Oreochromis niloticus: one gene and its partners. The protein of the gene in region 1 purifies or fractionates together with the protein of each later gene. This does not show direct contact. Links are inferred from orthologs where the notes say so. Each region holds a gene or a part of one and is shown on either strand. Other genes may lie near its edges.

Evidence for each region. The genes of interacting proteins can lie anywhere in the genome.
Region 2: the proteins of marchf5 (region 1) and mfn1b purify together in Homo sapiens (affinity purification with western blotting; 4 studies listed by BioGRID, with this or other methods). This does not show direct contact. The link is inferred for Oreochromis niloticus from reciprocal best matches to the Homo sapiens genes MARCHF5 and MFN1.
Region 3: the proteins of marchf5 (region 1) and mfn2 purify together in Homo sapiens (affinity purification with mass spectrometry; 5 studies listed by BioGRID and IntAct, counting the BioPlex papers as one, with this or other methods). This does not show direct contact. The link is inferred for Oreochromis niloticus from reciprocal best matches to the Homo sapiens genes MARCHF5 and MFN2.

The regions. Positions count from the first base shown.
Region 1 is NC_031978.2:26,274,876-26,278,629, forward strand, and holds the start of marchf5 (E3 ubiquitin-protein ligase MARCHF5), read right to left. Parts: upstream 2,363-3,754; 5' UTR 1,964-2,362; coding exon 1,920-1,963; intron 1-1,919. UniProt on the Homo sapiens protein: Mitochondrial E3 ubiquitin-protein ligase that plays a crucial role in the control of mitochondrial morphology by acting as a positive regulator of mitochondrial fission and as an important regulator of immune response.
Region 2 is NC_031986.2:45,570,806-45,574,559, reverse strand, and holds the start of mfn1b (mitofusin-1b), read left to right. Parts: upstream 1-1,159; 5' UTR 1,160-1,303; intron 1,304-3,754. UniProt on the Homo sapiens protein: Mitochondrial outer membrane GTPase that mediates mitochondrial clustering and fusion. Membrane clustering requires GTPase activity. It may involve a major rearrangement of the coiled coil domains.
Region 3 is NC_031984.2:35,410,862-35,414,615, forward strand, and holds the start of mfn2 (mitofusin-2), read right to left. Parts: upstream 2,812-3,754; 5' UTR 2,448-2,811; intron 1-2,447. UniProt on the Homo sapiens protein: Mitochondrial outer membrane GTPase that mediates mitochondrial clustering and fusion. Mitochondria are highly dynamic organelles, and their morphology is determined by the equilibrium between mitochondrial fusion and fission events.

The DNA of each region.
Region 1 (3,754 bases):
CAGACAATTTATAACCCCAACAAAACACTCCTCCAAATCTCTGACTTGGATTACTTTGTATTTCAAAACATATCACAAAGTAAGTGCTGTTGTTGACCGATCTTTCTGGGCAGGTGAGATCATACCCACTCAGTACCCACTCAGGTTTGTTCAGCTGATTAAATTGACGCTTTTTACTAGAATTGTTGAATTGAGTGCAGTACGAATAAAGGCCACCAAGTCAGTAAACTGTATTCTGTAAACTAAAACTGAGTTTTCCCTATTGTACATATGCAGGGGCTTTTAACTACAAACTTGGTGATGTAAGAAATCACTGCAAATGAGAAAGTTTATCTGGCAGCAGGAGCCAAACCTACATGACATCACATCAACCCACGGCAACAAACACAATGCTCCAAACACCTGCAAAACTTATACTTCTTTTGTGTCTCATTAAATGTCTCTTACAGTATATAAACCTGTTAGGTGAGTTAAGCTTTAGCCTCATTACTTAAACTACAATATGGTAGGTATTTGCAAAGCAAAAGTATAACTGCTTTGACAGGGAAATTGTTTAACTTCTGTTTTAAGAATCGCATCCTGAATTACACTTTGCCACGTAAAGTTATCGTTTCTCTTCATCCTATATAAGCAATGACTAAAAGCAACTCGAAATGCTGAAAGTGAGATTTAAAAAAACAAAGTCAAACACAAGCTAAGTAATTCTTTTCTGAAAAGGAATTGAACTTGTCGCTGCAGGAGTTCAGATCACAAATATTGAAAATGCCTTCAAGGTGTGGATCTGAAGGCAAACTATAGGGAAGCTGTGTCTATACTAGAGAATAAAAGTACCTTTGATCAAGTGTAGACCTCATACAGCTTCAAGTGAACTAAAATCTTTCTATTATGTGGCTTTACACTCCATAACGCCACTGAGGTTCGGCCTGTTGATAAACTTCTACTCCCTGTCATGATGAAAGTGAAAGGAGACCCTTTTTGACCAGAATGCTGCTTGACAGAAACCATGGCTGAGCTGCTTCTTTCTGTTGTGAAATATCCCAGCTATGACATGGTGATAAAGCATTGATGAAAATATGTTTAAGCAGACTTGCTTTGTTGCTGGCTACAGAAACAGCTCCTCATCTGCTTCCAATTACGTTTGCGTCTGTTGACACTTGCTGATTGTACAACAAAATTATTCCCCATGATGTAAGCGTTTTGTATTCTCTTCTTATATATGAGTGTATACAGTATATGAACTTGTGGAGTTCTGATCTTGCGCCTCAGTTACATTCACGTGTTCTTCTTTTGTTCTACTTGACCGCAAACATTTCTCGACAGGCATTTTGGAGCACCCTGAATCTGATTTTCGCTTTTGTACAAGTACGCAAAAACAAACTTTGTTCAGACATCTTACTAAAGAATCGAAAAGATTCTCTTAGAAATTAATGAACGTTTCAGCTGCCACAGAAATTAAATCAGGTCTGATGTAACACAGATAAGCAGGTTTGTTCTCAACTATGAACGTGACATTTTCAGGTATTTTACTGGACGCGGGGTCCTGCCTAAGGGTCAATAGTTAACAAGCCAAATATTTGGACATTTCTCCATGGCCTTATGAATTGTATCCAGTTTGAAAACACAAAATAACTGGCCATAGAATTACTTAACACAATATCCACTAATTCGTTGGCAGGAGCTAGGAGTCCAGGACTTCCTTTGTAAACTAAAAATTCCCTGGCGAGGGAAACTTAATGATAATCAGAGCTGAGTTGAAAGTTCGTATCCTGTTAAAAAAAAATTATAGTGTCTCACTTAAAGCCCAAATTGGGGGACGGTATTCTGACAATACCGTCCCCCAATTTCTCTTGACGACTATTTTGTTTTTAAGTTTAGCTATGTGGCTGCCATTAGCATGCTAGCCCCAAACTTGAACTCACCTGTCCAAATTCTGCTGCATGCCAACTGCGTTCTGTTCCGCCATTGTTGTAGAGGCCAAAAAGGTTCAGCTGTCTTCTTGGCGGAAATTAATTGCGTTACAGGTAAAACATTCGAAATTTAGTTCTCGTTAATTTGTTGCAGCTAAAGTCGACGAAGAAAAAAACACAAAAAACACCTGCTAGCAAGTTAGCTGTTGAACTAATGCTAACAAGCTACATAGGCCTTCGCCCAGATGCGGTGCAACACCCGCAAACAAACCGGTATTTTTTTTTAATCAAAAAACTATTCCTCCTCCTCCAACGCAGTCTACGTAACACTTATATGCGTTCGATGGGCTATTTCGGGCAAAATTCTTCTTTATATCTGCCACGGCCTCGTATGGCGTGACTGTTTGACTCCATTGACAGGCTGTCTCTGAGGTAACGCAAAGACACCACGTCTGTGCGCATCTACGTAATCAAAACAAAGCAAGCACCGCAAAGGCGAGCATGGGAAATGTAGTTTCACAATATCGCTCTCTCTCGCTCTCTCTCTCTCTCTCTCTCTCTCCCTCTCTTTCTTTCTTTATCTCTTCGCTGAATGCCCAAATAAAAGCTCTGAATCATCTCCAGAGTTGCCAAGAAAGACTATTAGAGGTGTATAGCCATTATTAGTACGCACTGCGAATGTAGTTATTCCCGTTCGTACATGCGTGTACGCGAGTGCGAACCACGACAAATGCAATAATGTGACAAATACAGTCCAATAATCTCAGAGAGGAAACCTTATCCATAATGTGACTGCGTGAGAAGCGATTATACATATTTAAAAGACAATCTCTGAACGTGAGAACATATTTTTTAAACATAATGTTTTTCTATCCTTTGTGCTCGTTTGTTTTCCTATAATGTGCCTGTTTAAAAAAGCATAGTTACATTAAATTCAATGGGACTGACAGACAGAAAGACAGACACCTTTGCTGACCGGCCACTTTATCGTTTGAAACTACAACTCCCAGCAGTCTACGCGCCAGCGTCCATGCGCCGCAGTCAATCAGCTGTTCAAGCAACTGCTGACTACCTCGGCACAAGGGTAGCTCGTTTGTCATATCTAAACCCAGACGAGGCAAACAAGAAATATCTTTATTTACAGAGTCCCCAAAAGGTGAACGATAAAGGTAAATTCAAACTTCATGTTAGGCAAAGAGAAAACCAGGCTGTGTGTGCATGCTGTTTTGTCGTTTTTGTGGAGGGAGGGGGGAGCATGTGGATTATACAGAGGGATTTCAAGACAAGACAGCTTGATGAAATGTATATCGGGTGCCTCGATCAGCGCGATAAACAGGCAGCTGAAGGGTCAGGTTTTGCCTTGTGTGTGTGGTAAAGAGCCGGTGAGGTGAGCCACCGTACAGGCTGCTGATTGTGCTTCTTTGATGACCTTGGAATCGGGAGATCCTGGAGGAGAAAACACGGATTAACTGGTGGGGTGTGTGCGAGTGTATGTGTAACGAAGGCTGTTGCGATTAAACATGAAATTCTTACTTGTGTTGCTGTCATTATAGCACTGAAATGATCTGTTATGTCAGTCTAGAGACTACTATTGAAAGGCCTGTGTGTAGGTTGTATGTTAGCTCTCTGGAGACAGTTACCGATCAACAGACCAGAGGAGTCTGACAATGATTTGACACCAAAGTGTCATATCTCATAGTTGTGCCTTTTGCTCCAGCTGGCAGAATATATACTCAGCTGCTTAATTTCCTTTCCCTGATCAGAGTATCCGCTGTGTTTGACATTTCTGCTTGCCCTGCCTGCTCATTGTTGAGATTACCAGGCCTGTTTGGCACTTAATGTAATTC
Region 2 (3,754 bases), on another chromosome or scaffold:
GGGGGAGGGGTGTCAGGAATCCCACAGGAGGCAACAGTGCTATGGGAAGAGAGAGGCTGGCACAGTGGTGTGGCTCTGGGTTCCAGGCTGACTACAGGTGAGGTTGTAGGGGTGTGAGCAGACACTGTGGTGTCGAATCTATTGAAAAACAGATTCAACTCGTTAGCTCTATCCTCACCTCCCTCAGCTCCCCTGCTGTTGGTTGGCCTGAATCCAGTGATGGTCTTTGTTGAAAAGACTCACCTTTTAGCATATCCCCGCACACCCACTCACTTCACCAGGTGCACCTTGTTTAGTTCTCTCACCTTTAATTGGGTGTGGTGCTTGTCCTTAATTGCACTCACCTGTCACACAGTATATAAGGACTGCATTCACCTTTGGCTCACTCTTTCTTCACTCCCACACGGGGCGGCAGCAGAGCATTGGCAGTCCATGTGTGTCTTTCCTTCTTTGCTTTATTGAATTGAGAATAAAAGGAGAACCCTGTGAATGATTAGATGACTGCTTATTCTCATTCTGATCGGATGAGCCCATGATGCTGATTATTTAAACCCTGAGCCTTCCTTCCTTCACAACAGTCTTCATGCCCCTCCACACCTCTCTCATGCTGTTCTGCTGGAGTTTCCACTCCAGCTTCCTCCTGTAATTGTCCTTAGCCTCTCTGATCTTGTCCTTTAGTAACACCTGGACCTTCCTCACCTCCTCTTTATTGCCCCCTCTGAAAGCCCTCTTCTTGTTGTTGAGGAGGGCTTTGATGTCCTTAGTCACCCACGGCTTGTTATTTGGGTAACCTGAGTTGAGTTACTGTCTTATTTTCATTTTTCAAAGGTTTTTACCTTTGGTTTCGTTTTAAATTTGATTTTAGTTTAATTTGGTGTTCATAACAGGTTTGCCGGGTTTGGTTCTTATTGTTTTCAGTTTCACAGTTTTTTTGTTTTACTTTCACTTCACTTTCACTAAATGCTTAGAAGGTTTTTGCAGAAACGTGCAGAGAGTCTGTCTTTTAAAGACTCTAAACAATCGTATATAGATATCCCGGACAGGCGTTTACAGTAAAGGAGAGCTCCGGGTCGGACACATTCTTTGCTCATTGATTGGCTGTTTCCGGACAACCGTTTCGTCACTTATCTCCGCCCCCTGTCCTGAGAATGGAGCTGACGCTGGAGGGGGCTGCGTCAAGTGGAAGAACAGGAAGTCTAGACACTTAAAGTTTGAAAATAAAAGAAAGCTTCTAATTGAACGGTCAGGACATTGACCGCTAAAGCGGTTTAAGAGAGAAACAATATCGACTCGATATACACAGGTAAGGATGACACGTTTAAGTTCTAAAAACAATGGCAGCGGTAAAACAGGAAAACACACGTAGTTCAACAGTAAATAAACTAAAGCGACATCAGTTAGCAGCGGTCACATTTACAGAAGGGGCTTTGGAGTTGACGTCACGCCGCAATGCATTGTGGGAGCGCGGCACCATTTTCGGGGTCTACGAATCAAAACGAACTACGATTACAAGATGCTTAAAAGCAGCTCAAAAGAGAATGGACTGTATAGAGACCGATTGCGTCCAGAGGCGAAGCGGCGGTACTTGCAGAAAATCGCGTGCATTGGAAATGTGGACCGGTATGAAACACAGCGGTGGAGTAGAAACCCTGAAGACCAACCGCTACTGACGTAGCCTGACATATTTTCGTACCTTATCTGTGGAGTCAGCGCTACAACTCGTCATTCAAACAAAGGTAAGTCAGCTCGAGTACTGCGAGTGAAATGCGTTTGATTTCCCTGCAAACATTCAGATTAGTGCAGCATAAATTCATTCATGAGGGTGAAATTACAGTGAGAACATGTGGAGGCTGTTAGGTGAATAACATAGTGAGTTCAGTGCATTGATGTGACATTGTCCTGAAGGATTTAGTTATTCTCTATGGTTAAAGAAACTGCAATGATTTATTCATATTTATTATAAATAATTCTAATTATACATCTTGCTTCAATATTTGTATCTTGTGTCACTAAAAATACATCTTTAGTTTTATACATTGATTAATGACCTGCAGAATCTCCTTATCATATTAAGTGATTCATAATTGTCACTTTATGCTTTCTCCATCTCTAAAGTGATGACATCCTTGCATTACATGCTTTAGGTTCATTTTCTGCAGGCAGGTTTCTGACAGAGAACAGGCAGATTTACCCTATAAAATGCAGCGTTCTATAGATGGACACATAAAGAAATGAAAAATGACATGTATGTGCTAACTTTCTAAACACTGTTACATTTATGATAAAGTAGATAAAACACATTTATGTCGGCCTTGGCTCATAGTTCTTGTCTTTAAATTAACTTTGTCTGTGTGTGTTTCAGGTGCTGCACTCTCAAAGACTGAATGAACCAGCATTGCAGCCATGGGTCACTGTGAGCATCACAGGGAAGGTTGAAGCCGCCCACTGCACCCGTGTGGCCGGAGTCGTGGAGACCTGCACCCATGTCGCTGCTCTTCTGTTTAATGTAGAAGCAACAGTGCGGATCTGTGGCACAAGGACTGTTACAGATGAACCTGCATACTGGGTTTTGCCTGGTAATATGACCAAGATACAGCCAGAGGTTGGCCATAAGAGACTTCTCCTCTTCAGCTGCCCAAAAAAAGGCTCTTGATCAAAACATAAACAGACCATCCGTAATGAAAGGTAAAAGGAGCCGTCCTCAAAAAAGAAAAATCCCACCTGCTACTGTGGAGGAGTTGTCACTGCTATAATGCCATAATGTTTTATCTAGGGGTCTAAATTTATGCCTGTAGTGCACTGCCATGTAAATTATTTGCATTTACTGAATATGTACTGACTGAGTACCACTGTTCAAAAGTTGAATAAAGAAACAAACTAAGTTTTGCCTCTTTTTTTATTATTAAAACCACTTTATAGAACATCACATCAGTTACAATGTAGAATCCATGTCATTTATAGTTTATAAAAGACAAAATGTTTACACAAAATCATGACAGTGTTTACATGATATCACCCACTACTAACATTATTTACTGTATCTTTTGAAAAAAAAAATACCACTATTTATACAGCAAAAGACTTAAGAATATTTAACAGGAGCAAGTTTCATTTTCCCTGGTTTTACTATAACACTGTTCAACAAACGCAGCAAACCTTCACCATCTTATCCAGAAGGGTCACCTCTTCACCCTCACATGGAAGAAGTAATCTGATTGGCATGGTGGTATGTTTGAAGCAGGTCCCTTATGTAGCACTGGAACCCAGTCACGATGTGTTTCATCCATTTCATAGGCTGGTTTGCTGCAATAATGCCAAATAATTAGAAACTCTATAAAGAGAAGGTAGTTCTGCAGAATCACTCAGTAGGATGTTTGTTCTAATTTGCTATGACCTCAGAGCGCATCGAAAATAAAACTAATAGGCTATAAAGAGTGATATGAACATATTTAGAACTTACAGGTGTTGTGCCAAAGTAGTTACCCCCGTCAAAAATTGTTTCCCCATCCACGAGAGCGCGCAAAGTAGGAGGAGCCACTTGCCCAGCTCCGTTCTGTACGCTACTTGTCACTGATCTGCAGTCGACGCAATAAAGAGTAAAAGCTGGAAAACGGCAGGCTCGATTAATTTAATATTAGTTTCGTGACATTGTAATGTGCCGTGTGGAAGACAATTTACATTAAACTGTACACTGAAATAACCTGCTGGGAATACTTTGTCTAGAAAAATACTTTGATACTATAATACTGTAAAA
Region 3 (3,754 bases), on another chromosome or scaffold:
ACACAGTCCGTGTCTATCCTGGGACAAGGACTACAAGTACTTGGGCGTCCACATCCACTACAGGGTGAAGTGCATGACCAGCACAAAGCATGAAAACAAGAACGGAATGAGAAGGCTCTATTTGCTAAGGAAGCTGATATCCTTCAACATGGGCAGCAATATGATGGAGATTATCTGTCAGTCAGTTGTGGTAAGCTTACTGTACTTTTTCTTTGCTGTGGTCTGCTGGGGCAGCAGCATCAGAGCTGGTAAAAGTAACACACTGAATAAACTTACTAGGAAGGCTGGCTCTGTGATTTTAGAACTTAAAGAACCTAAATAAACAAGTGAACAAAAAAATAAAATAAACAAACAACAAAATATCTAACATCTAAAAATGTATTATAGAAAAGTTACAAATGAACTTTGGATGAAGTGTAGTACAAATAATAATAAGTTAAAATAAAAAAGTTTTTGTTTTTTTGTTTTTTTTAAAAAGAGTGCTCACTGTGAAAGACTGTAGCAGTCACTGACCTCACAACTGCTATATCTAAATCAGAAACAAATTTGAAAACAATATTGTAAAAGTAGAAAACTTAAAGATTTTCATCTTGTCCCCTGCAGCTTCTCTCTCATCCACCATCCATGCTGACCCTCCTCAGTCTACAGCTCATTCCCCCTCAGCTCATCTAATTCTTCTGCTCTGCACTGATTTCACTCTTTATCGCTCCCACTAGTTCTCTACACTCTGGACTCCCTGCTCAGTTCAGTTACACTTCCCCAGTTGCTCTGGACAGCCAGCAACCCACCTGGGACTCCACGTATACCTAATCCATTCTGTCACGGCTCAATATTCCATCTACAGCCGATTCAGCCAGCACCAATTATTCATCCTTTATCTAACTACAGTCCACTAGTCCCATGATGCATTGAGTTTTTCCTTTCCAGTCACCTTTCTCACTCAGTATGTGTTAATAGACCTCTCTGCATTGAATCATATCTGTTATTAATCTCTGTCTCTCTTCCACAGCATGTCTTTATCCTGTTTTCCTTCTCTCACCCCAACCGGTCGCAGCAGATGGCCCCACCCCTCCCTGAGCCTGATTCTGCCGGAGGTTTCTTCCTGTTAAAAGGGAGTTTTTCCTTCCCACTGTCGCCAAAGTGCTTGCTCAGACTGGGTCATATGATTGTTGGGTTTTTCTCTGTACCTATGAAGCGCCTTGAGGCAACTTTTGTTGTGATTTGGCGCTATATAAATAAAACTGAATTGAATTGAATTGAATAGTTGTTACATGAATTGCTCAGTGGCCTTAAGGTAAAATACTAATAGTAAAAGGGTTAATGTTAATGGGTGCAGTAAGCCAGGTTAACAGTTATGATAACTGTTTAATACTGACTTCTGAACATCAACCTGAAGTATTGGTTTAGTGTGATGAAGGTTAACTACTGCAGCCACTAGTGAGGAGGAGCAGCGGGTTTGTGTCAGCTGGAGGAGGCAAAGATGGCACAGTTTGTGGATACTGTTGCAAATCAGTATCTAAATTCAATATAAAATTTAGTATTCATATCTGAATACTCTTCTCTTTTGAGAACTTGATACAGGGTATAATACTATAATACTACAACCTGTAACAAAATAACTTCCCAAACATGTGACATATAAAGTATAAGCCTCGAACCACAAAGTGCTGGTAAATCAACACTAAGCAAGTTTCTTTTAAATGAATCAGGCTCCGTGTAATATCTGGGTAATAACTGCTTCTTATTGCTGATACCTGCTATTAGGAAAACATGAGCCTGATGTCAAGTCGTTTCTGCCAGTGTGGAAAGAGTACACAGAGAGCAACGGGCTAAAACGACTGATGACGACTTCCCGCACAGCTTTGGAAAACTACACTGATCATTTTTAGCACTCATGTAGCACCTCCGCTACATGAGTGCAGGTTTATGAGAATACTGACAAAGATGGCACTGCAGATCTATGAAAGCTTCATTACATTTGAAAAGAATATCACGAGTCGATCTTCAACTCATCCACGCAGAGTCAAAACCAGCTAAACATGCTGGTTCCGCTCTGTCACCGCCCCTGCGACCTTTCACACAGTGCTGAAGATAATATTGCAGCAGTGCCATCAATCTCTTAATGCTGCTTTTAATATAAACACAAATAAAAGAAAAATACTCGGCACGTTGCGCCAAGCTCTTTTAACACTGAGGCTTTCATCATCTTTGTGCAAGCTAATCTACATGTCATCAAGTACTCCGGCTGGACAAGCTCTGCTTAAGCTTCTGTTTCTCAGATGTCCCTCCATCTTTGTTCTTGACCATGACACAGAGTCCTGGTAACAGTTTGGAGTAGCAGCTCAAGGATAAATTACGAACTAGTTGACCTGTCAACCAACTTCGATCAGGAGCTAAGGCTAGCTTCACTAACAGCTTGCTAAGTCAGAGCCGTGGGTGTGCCTTACCGTGGATGGAGTCGTTCTTCACAAACAGTCCTCTTGCATTGTGCCCCCGAGGCTTCTGAATGCTCTACAAGTCACCGAGCTACCCACGAGCCCACACACCTGTACCTTATACTGATAACTCAAGTTAGCTGCTGCTGCAGCGGGCGTCTCTGCGTGTTCCAAGGACCTTAAAGTACCGAGTTTGACTTTGACCGCGTTGGTTTCTAGTAAACCCCAAAGACGTCAAACAGTATACTTTAAAGGTTGTTCTTTATATATTTTCTCAGCGCACACTTCGTTTCAGCATTGTGTCGACTACTCCGTTTACTATCTGCGCGACCCGCTCTCCTCTTTAGTGTCAATGGCAAACAGCTCTAAGGTGGAATACCGCCACCTGCTGGATTGGAGAATAGCTGTTGTGCCTCTGGTGGCAAGGTATGGAAGTAGCAGGGGCGTGGCTTTTAGCTGATGCTTACTGCTATGTGAGCCGCTACCCATGAACAAAAATACTTGTGCTTACAGTATTTTATGCTCTTTTCATAAAGTCTGTAAGTTTGAATGAGTCCCATATTTTAAACAAAGAAATAACATCAACCAGAGACAGTCTAGAGAAACCCATAGTTACTGTCATTATCAGAATGATCTGAAAATAGCTTGTATTTTGGCATTTTTAGCATTAGACCGGTTTTACAACAGCTTCACACACAGTGTATTTTATCAGTATTTAACAAACCAGCTTGCAAATGTTGTGCTTTAATTTAACAATCAACAAGACCCATTTCCACATTACTGCGAACAGCTACATTCACCTACAACAAATGCCAGATGTGTTGTTCACTGAGATAGACGTGTCAGAATCATCACCATGGAGATCTGACAGGATGTATGATCATGAAGTACCAGCAGATCCTTCATGGAAATCTTCTTTAGAACTCCAACATAGGCCTGCCCTAAGTAATGGAAAAATCTCAGCACTATAAGAACAATGTAGAGCAACCTTTGTTTTGTGAAATGTTAGAAGCCCTGAACGCCGTCCTCAGATAAAGCAAAGAGGCTCTTGATTGTTTTTTACAAAAGTTACATACACTCATATAGAAAATTTAAAATATGTACAGTATAGTGCAAAAGTCTAGAGCTACCTCATTTCTTTATACACTGCTAAAAATAAATAAATAAAAGAAACACATTTTATGTAGCATCACACAGGAGAAACTCCCTTATAACAGGAAGAAAGCTCAAGCAGAACCAGCAGAATCATAATTTGGAGCTGGTTCCACAGAAGAGGGGCAAAGCTGAAGGCTCTGCCTTCCATTATACTTTTAAATACT